2 linked regions of the Canis lupus familiaris genome follow. The protein of the gene in region 1 purifies or fractionates together with the protein of each later gene. This does not show direct contact. Links are inferred from orthologs where the notes say so. Each region holds a gene or a part of one and is shown in the gene's direction. Other genes may lie near its edges. The genes, in order: CCDC68 and CEP170.

Region 1 (3,831 bases):
ACATTTTACATAGTTTCTTCTCAGATAATTTGATTTTTATACTTCTGATCAATGAATGCTTCAGCTGGTGCTGTTTTTATATTAAATTAATTCCTGGATATATCCAGATATCAATAATTAATCACATGTTCTACTATATTTAATTATAGTGCTAATACAGAACTTCTTTCAGTTTATGGACCGTATTATCAGATCATCAAAGAAGTTAGTTTTGACTAACTGATTTGTGTTTTCCTAGAGCCGGAATTCACAATGACAACAGTAACAGTGACCACAGAGATTCCCCCAAGTGGTAAAATAAAAAATAACTCTGCCCTGTATGAGTCCACATCAGCTCACGTTATTGAAGAAACTGAATATGTGAAAAAGGTATGCAGGTACTGGAAATCGATCATGATCTTTTAAAATGCAACCTAACATGGATGGGTGGGCTTTGTTTCTCCCTCCATAGAACCTGTGAGGACACATTTGGTAAAGGACAACCCCAGCAGCTGAAATTTCAACACATGTTTGGTAACCTCTCTTGAGGACACAAACCTCTGTTCCCACACATGGCATAAAATTGAATCATGGGCCAGAAGGGTTCAGAACACCTATCAGCACTTAATTTGCCCCACACTCTTCACCACTGCACTTCCTACTGTTTTATATCATTTCTCAGTTGTTTCATGAGTGTTGCTACTGTGCTCCCAACTAGATGTTTATGTTCTCTCTGAGTTACTGTCTCTCCTTACCGCTTCCTTTTCACAGTGCTGGGTTGCTCTCCTCAGTGATCACATGTTGGCATGTGACTTCATTACAAATGTGAAATCTTATGAGAATCCAGTGATAATGGCTGACAAAAGTATATATTCTTATGAACTGTTTCTTAGAACAGATAGAAAAATTTGAACCTGGCTAGTTTATAACTTACTTAGATTAATTCATCTTTGAGTGTCTTACAATTCCATAGGTCACTAAGACATTAGGCTTATATTTCATGCATAAATTTGTATGATCTTCTCTTAGTAATTATTCTGTAGTAATTACTAAATAGTAATTATTCTATAGTAATTGCTAGCTAGTAATTATTCTCTAGTAATTACTAGCTAGTAATTATTTTGTAGTGATTACTAAATAGTAATTGTTTTATAGTAATTACTAAATAGTAAATTAGTACTAAATTGCTACATAGGAAAAATAGAATTAAATAGTATTAAATACTAATTACTAAATAGTAATTATTTTGTAGCATAATATTCATTTAGGTTATATTTTAGGTTTGACTGAGAAAGAATTATAAAGACCAAATGTTCATTTTCTGCAGTCTAAACAATATTAGCCTAAATGCAAGTCAGGTTGGTGGCAGTTATTTAAATCTCTGATCAGTGTTTATTATTACTTTCCAGATAAATCAGGTATACTGTAGCTGGTATAAAGAAAAAAGTATTTGACATTAAATGTCTTTGAAAAAAAATTTAAATGTGCTTTTCTTCTAGATCCGAACTACTCTGGAAAAGATCCGAAATCAAATTTTTAAAGATGAAGTAGGACATAACAGTACAAATCACAAACTAGAAACAAAGGTAATAAATTGATCAAAATGTACCACTTTATTCCTTCAGTAAATAAACATAAAACAGTATAAACCCTATTTAAATAACTTTTTATGATAATTATTAAATTATTCTTTGAAGTTTTGAATGATGGATGTTAAATATTTTGTCAGTATCTAAAGATGTTACTGGGCATATGTATGAAATATTTAACCACAGATGTTATTAGCAGGCTCAGATTGGAAGGACTAGACCTTAGTTGAATATTTTAAATAGGGCTTACTTATCTAAAGTATATGTAAAGATGTCAGCCCAGCCAGGATATAGGGCAGCAACATTTTTCAAAGCGTGATGAAGGTACAACCTTTTAGGCTCACCTGGGTCACGCCAATGGACACAGAGTCGAAGTTATTAAGCTGTTAGGCCAAGTGATCAGACAATTGATAAACTTGAATGTACCGTTTCCCCTGTGACTGGCCTTATATTCTTAATGTCAAACAATCTACACTAGCCTTGCCTGGATTGTGCCGGATTAGAGCCCATCTGAAGCCAAGTGCACCTCATCCATACCAACGTTGTCCACTATATAGTGTAGCCATAGAGAATGAAGAAGGCATAAATATTGTTCCCTTTATCATGCTCAGTCTGCCAAACTAACACAACCAGCTCCAAAAATTTTCTTATATTAAGTGCTCAGAAACTAGAAAAAAAGGTTAATGTTTGTGAATGGTGGTAAAGGCCAAAAAAAAAAAAAATCCATTTTGGTTCTATTGAGTTGTTTATTTCACCTGTAAGTGGAGATTTATAATGGGTACTGTGTGTCTGATTCTGGCTTTGAAGGTAGAGGTTTGGGCTAGAAGATCCAGGCCACAGGGCAGAGATTTTAGAAATAAAGATAGCATTTAAATTTCTGAAATTGGAGGAGATTGCCAAATGTGAGTGTGGATAGAAATGACGGGGGCACCTGAGTGGCTCAGTCAGTTGAGCATCTGACTCTTGGCTTTGGCTCAGGTCCTGATCTCGTGGGTCCTGAGATCGAGCCTTGCCTCTGGCTCCGGGCTCACTCAGGGGAGAATCTGCTTGAGGATTTTTTCCTTCTGCCCCTCTCCTCATGTGCATGGGAGCGCTCTCTCTCTCTCTCTCTCTCTCTCAAAAATAAATAAATAAATAAATAAATAAATAAATAAATAAATACATCTTTAAAAGAAATTAAATGGCAGGAAATTTGAGCATTTGGTCCTGAGATATCCAACACTTTGGAAGAAGAATCCTCACAGCAGGCTGGAAAAAGACACTAGTGAATTAGAAGGAAAACCGGAAGAGAGAGAGTCACTGAATGGCAAGTGAAAAAGGGTGTCACCACTATGTCTAATGGTGCCTATGGGTCAAGTAAATTGAGAACTGAACATTCACCATTGGATATCACAATGGGAAGGTTGGTGACCTTGATAGGAGTTAGGAATGGAGATGAATTGTGTTGCCAGTGTGTCTGCCTTGGTCATCTCAAACCTCAAGATAGCAAATAATAGCCTCAAAGGACCTGCTCCTTCCCCTGCAATATCTGCACAACGTCCATGTGGGAATTCAGCATACTGATCTAGGGCTTTACTGCTCTCCAAGCCTGGGCGGTATTCACAGCAGCAGTAGCAGTACCAGGGAGCTCTTTAGAAATGTAGCATCTGGAGCTCCACCCCAGACCTTGTGAATCAGAATCTGCATTTTAACTGGATCTATCACCAAGTGACTCATATACACATCAAAGTTCAAGATGCACTAATCCATGACCTTTGTAGCTATCTACTGCTGCCAGCAATCTACCTTCCACAAGACTCCTTCCATGGAGTATTCTTTTACAAATTAAAAACAAAATAACTTATATAGGGAGAGTGAGAGTATATAGTAGTGTATGGAGTAGAATAAACAAAACCATGATGGAATTACAGGTCTTTAAAATTTATATATTTATATATATTATTTATTTCACTATATTCTTTTCTGCTTTTTTATTTCTGTAAACGTAACCTATATTTTGTACTAGAAAGAATATTGCCTTTGTTAAACAAACTTGGGTTCCAATTCTGGTCCTGGTGGTTGTTTTAGGTATAACCTCCTAAAATACTAGAAAACACTTACTAGTATTGCTAGTAAGCTTACTAGTGAAACACTCTCATCTTCAATTTTCTCCTCTGAATAATGGACATAGTGCCTTCTAGTGTTTGCAGCATTCAGACAAAGGGGGCTTTATAAAACATCTAAAAGATTACCTGTCACATAATAGGTGCTTACTAAATAGAAG
Region 2 (3,831 bases), on another chromosome or scaffold:
TTTTGTGGGTTTTGCTTTGTAGTTCAGCCACCTCATTTTATTTGGGTATACAAGTTGGTGGTAGAAAGAAACTATACCACCCTTTATCTCCAGCCAGCATTATCCTGTTACCAGAAGGATGAGCAAAGCAGAATAAATGACTCCGTGAATGTCATTTCGCTGATAGGCTAGGCTTAAAAGCCAGTTGTATTATATGGACATTGTAATAAATAGTAAATAAGCCAGTGTATGAAAAATTAAAAATAACATTAATGAGTTTACTAATATATGGGAGTGACTGATGCAGTTTACTCTCATGGGAATTTTTTTTTTTTTTTAAGATTTATTTATCCATTCATTCAGAGAGAGCAAGAGAGAGGCAGAGACACAGGCAGAGGGAGAAGCAGGCTCCATGCAGGAAGCCCGATGTGGGACTCGATCCTGGTCTCCAGGATCACACCCCAGGCTGCAGGCGGCGCTAAACCACTGCGCCACCAGGGCTGCCCTCTCATAAGAATTTTAAATGACAGGCCTTCAGAGTAAAGAGTGCAAGTAGGCATTTTATTATTAAGATAAATTAACTTTTTTAAAAAAAAGATTTTATTTAATTCATGAGAGACACAGAGAGAGGCAGAGACACAGGCAGAGGGAGAAGCAGACTCCACACAGAGCCCAGTGCAGGACTCGATCCCAGGATCACGCCCTGGGCCGAAGGGAGGCATGCAACCACTGAGCCACCCAAGCGTCCCAAGATAAATTAACTCTTACAGAAATTTAAAACATGACTTTAGGTTATTTAGTCTTATTGTATAATTTCTTCTCCCAAATAGCATGTAAAATTTTTGCTTTAATGACAGTGTTTTCTGAAACACATTTCACATTTTTAGTTATACGAAAAATTAAGTATATTTTGTAAAGAATAATTTTTTACATTGAAAAACATTTTTGTTACTGTTTACCTTCTGTATATTGAGCTTTTTTTTTTTTTTTTTTTTTTTGGAACTGGAGCTTGATATTTTCTATATGCCCTGTTCCATACATTGATTACAGCAGTGCTATTGTCCCATTCTTATAACCTAAAAGCAAATAGTTTTGTTTATGTTCAGAGAGTACTACCAAGAAATAATTACAGCACCTGTAGAATCCCATCAAGATTCAATATTTGAAAAGATGCTTCAAGAGACCACAAATACTGCTTTACTTAATTAGGGGATGATTGGAAACAACCTAGTCTCCCTGTACTGCTTCCTAATAAATTATCTGCACATGGTATTTCCATCAATCTGTTTAAAAATGGAATGCTTCTGAGAGCTTAAGGGAAATATTTTTCATTTGAACTCTTTACGATCTTCATAATGGACATAGTTCTCTTGCTTCCTGAAAAACAAGGCCGTTTAGTCTTTTTAATTTATCTATTTAGTTATTGCTTGCATTTGTACTAATTACACATACTTACAAGAAAACATTTCAATAATCATTTGTTTATATATTTTATTTACCTATTTTATTGACATATACTATGCATATATTTTTATACCTTTATATTTATTTCTGAGATAGCAATTGCTCACTTTTTCTGCCAACTCTGGTTGTTTTGATCTGAGATTTATAATTCAGCTTTCCTCCCAAGAATTTTTGACACTTGCGCATATTCTGCTATATAGACATACACATGAATTTTCTTCTAGAATTTTTGGCTGGCAACTAAATTTTCTATTTTTACCTTATTTCTTTCACATTGCTGCTTCGATTGCAATGCTGCAAGCAAACCACGTGTTTTATCTCTAGTCCTTTTATTCTTTATAGAATGTATCCATCTTCTTGCAGTGATCACACATCAGTAATGTTATTTTTATAATTCTAAAAGTAATGTCTTTAAATGTGATGGTGAAGAATGGTAAGTGGAATCATTGCCTCTAGAACATCACTTGCATATTGACTTCATGTTTATTTCTTCATATGAGCACCTGTTCTCCTTCAGAGCTCTACTTTGTGTTCATAGATAATTTATCCTCCTGACTTGATAAGGAAATTCATATTTTTTCTGTCTCTAGATGTATATGTTGAATGTGCATCTTCATCTCCATTTGATTTCAGTTCTTTTGCACCTTGATTTCTAGATCCAAATTGGAAAAAATACGGATCTAGCCATGCCAGGGTCTGTCTCTTAACTGCTTTGTTCTTTGTCACTGCTGCTGCTTATCTTGCATCTTCTGTTACTGAATGCTATTTATAATCAAAATTATTCTTTCTCTGTGACATTTGCCAGATTTTCATCCAGGCTGTGATCTGCCTTCCGAGTCTCATGGCATAATACAAATAGCCATATTTATTCTCCTTCAAGTTTTAGAAGCTCCCAAATATTTTGAATTTTCTCTTATTTTTTTCATTAGGGTGCAGCATAGATGCCAAGCAAGTTGAGGAACAGTCTGCAGCAGCTGCAAATGAAGAAGTACTTTTTCCTTTCTGTAGGGAACCAAGTTACTTTGAAATCCCTACAAAAGAATTTCAGCAGCCGTCACAAATAACAGAGAGCACTATTCATGAAATCCCAACAAAAGACACACCAAGTTCCCATACAGCAGGTGCAGGGCATGCTTCATTTACCATTGAATTTGATGACAGTACTCCAGGGAAGGTAACTATTAGAGACCATGTGACAAAATTTACTTCTGATCAGCGCCACAAGTCCAAGAAGTCTTCTCCTGGAACTCAAGACCTGCCGGGGATTCAAACAGGAATGATGGCACCAGAAAATAAAGTAGCTGACTGGCTAGCACAGAACAACCCTCCTCAAATGGTATGGGAAAGAACAGAAGAGGATTCCAAAAGTATTAAAAGTGATGTTCCAGTTTACTTGAAAAGGTTGAAAGGTAAAGTGAATTGATCATTTCAGAACTTCCTGTTTTGTGATAAAGAAAATTCAGTCTTCACAGTTAACCAGACTACTCCTAGATAAATAATTATATGATAGGAAACTTCAGCTTTTTCAAACCTTTATATTTGATTTTGAAGCTCAAAAGCAAGCCACACTACCCATGTCCACCTTACTCATGAAAAATAGTCTGCCTTCATTTTCTTGCCAAAACCAAATTGGTTTTGTGAATTTATATTTATGCCATTAAAAATGTTTCTTTTTCCTGTGGAAATAAAAGATTAATTCTGTTCACCAATGGAATTCCCTAGAAGACAGTTCTCATCATTTTCTTGACTTCAGGAAAAACTATATTCAATTCTGTTCTTCTCTATTGTGATGCTTCCTGTAAAATGTCAAAATCTAGATTTTGAAAGAAATTTTAAGCCGTTTGATAATGGGCCAAAAGTTCTACATTAGTAATATAGTGACATTGTTGATAGAGTGTTTCCAGCTTTTCTCAGCAGTTACTCATGAAACAAAAAAACTTGTGGTCTAGAGATACTAGGAATTAATTGAGTTAAAAATGTTTTTGATATTAAAATTTATGAAATCACAATCGAATGTTTATTTGTGAAATAGTCAATATATGCTTTTCAGTGTAACACTTGACCAAAATTAGGCAAATATCTATACTTCTATATCAGAGTATCAACTGAATAATTTTTACATTGTTTTGCTAATTAAGTATATTTTAATTACCCTATCTTTATTTTATTTAATTAGCTATCTTTAAAAGAAATGATTGCATGCTAATCTGGCCATTCTGTTTCTCTGCAAGGAGTTAATAAGCTTAAAAAAAATGCTCATTGAGGTCATTGTATCCCTGACATTTTGCCTGGGGACTTAATTATGTGGCAAGTACTCGGTAATTTGAATACACAATGAATGACTTCATTATCAGTGATAAGACTAACCCTGGCCTAACCAGTACTTTA

The links.
Region 2: the proteins of CCDC68 (region 1) and CEP170 purify together in Homo sapiens (co-immunoprecipitation; 3 studies listed by BioGRID and IntAct, counting the BioPlex papers as one, with this or other methods). This does not show direct contact. The link is inferred for Canis lupus familiaris from reciprocal best matches to the Homo sapiens genes CCDC68 and CEP170.

What each region holds. Positions count from the first base shown.
Region 1 is NC_049222.1:20,761,915-20,765,745, forward strand, and holds part of CCDC68 (coiled-coil domain-containing protein 68), read left to right. Parts: intron 1-238; 5' UTR 239-252; coding exon 253-369; exon of another isoform or gene 370-371; coding exon of another isoform or gene 372-377; intron 378-1,478; coding exon 1,479-1,565; intron 1,566-3,831. UniProt on the Homo sapiens protein: Centriolar protein required for centriole subdistal appendage assembly and microtubule anchoring in interphase cells. Together with CCDC120, cooperate with subdistal appendage components ODF2, NIN and CEP170 for hierarchical subdistal appendage assembly.
Region 2 is NC_049228.1:34,261,389-34,265,219, reverse strand, and holds part of CEP170 (centrosomal protein of 170 kDa), read left to right. Parts: intron 1-2,372; coding exon 2,373-2,852; intron 2,853-3,831.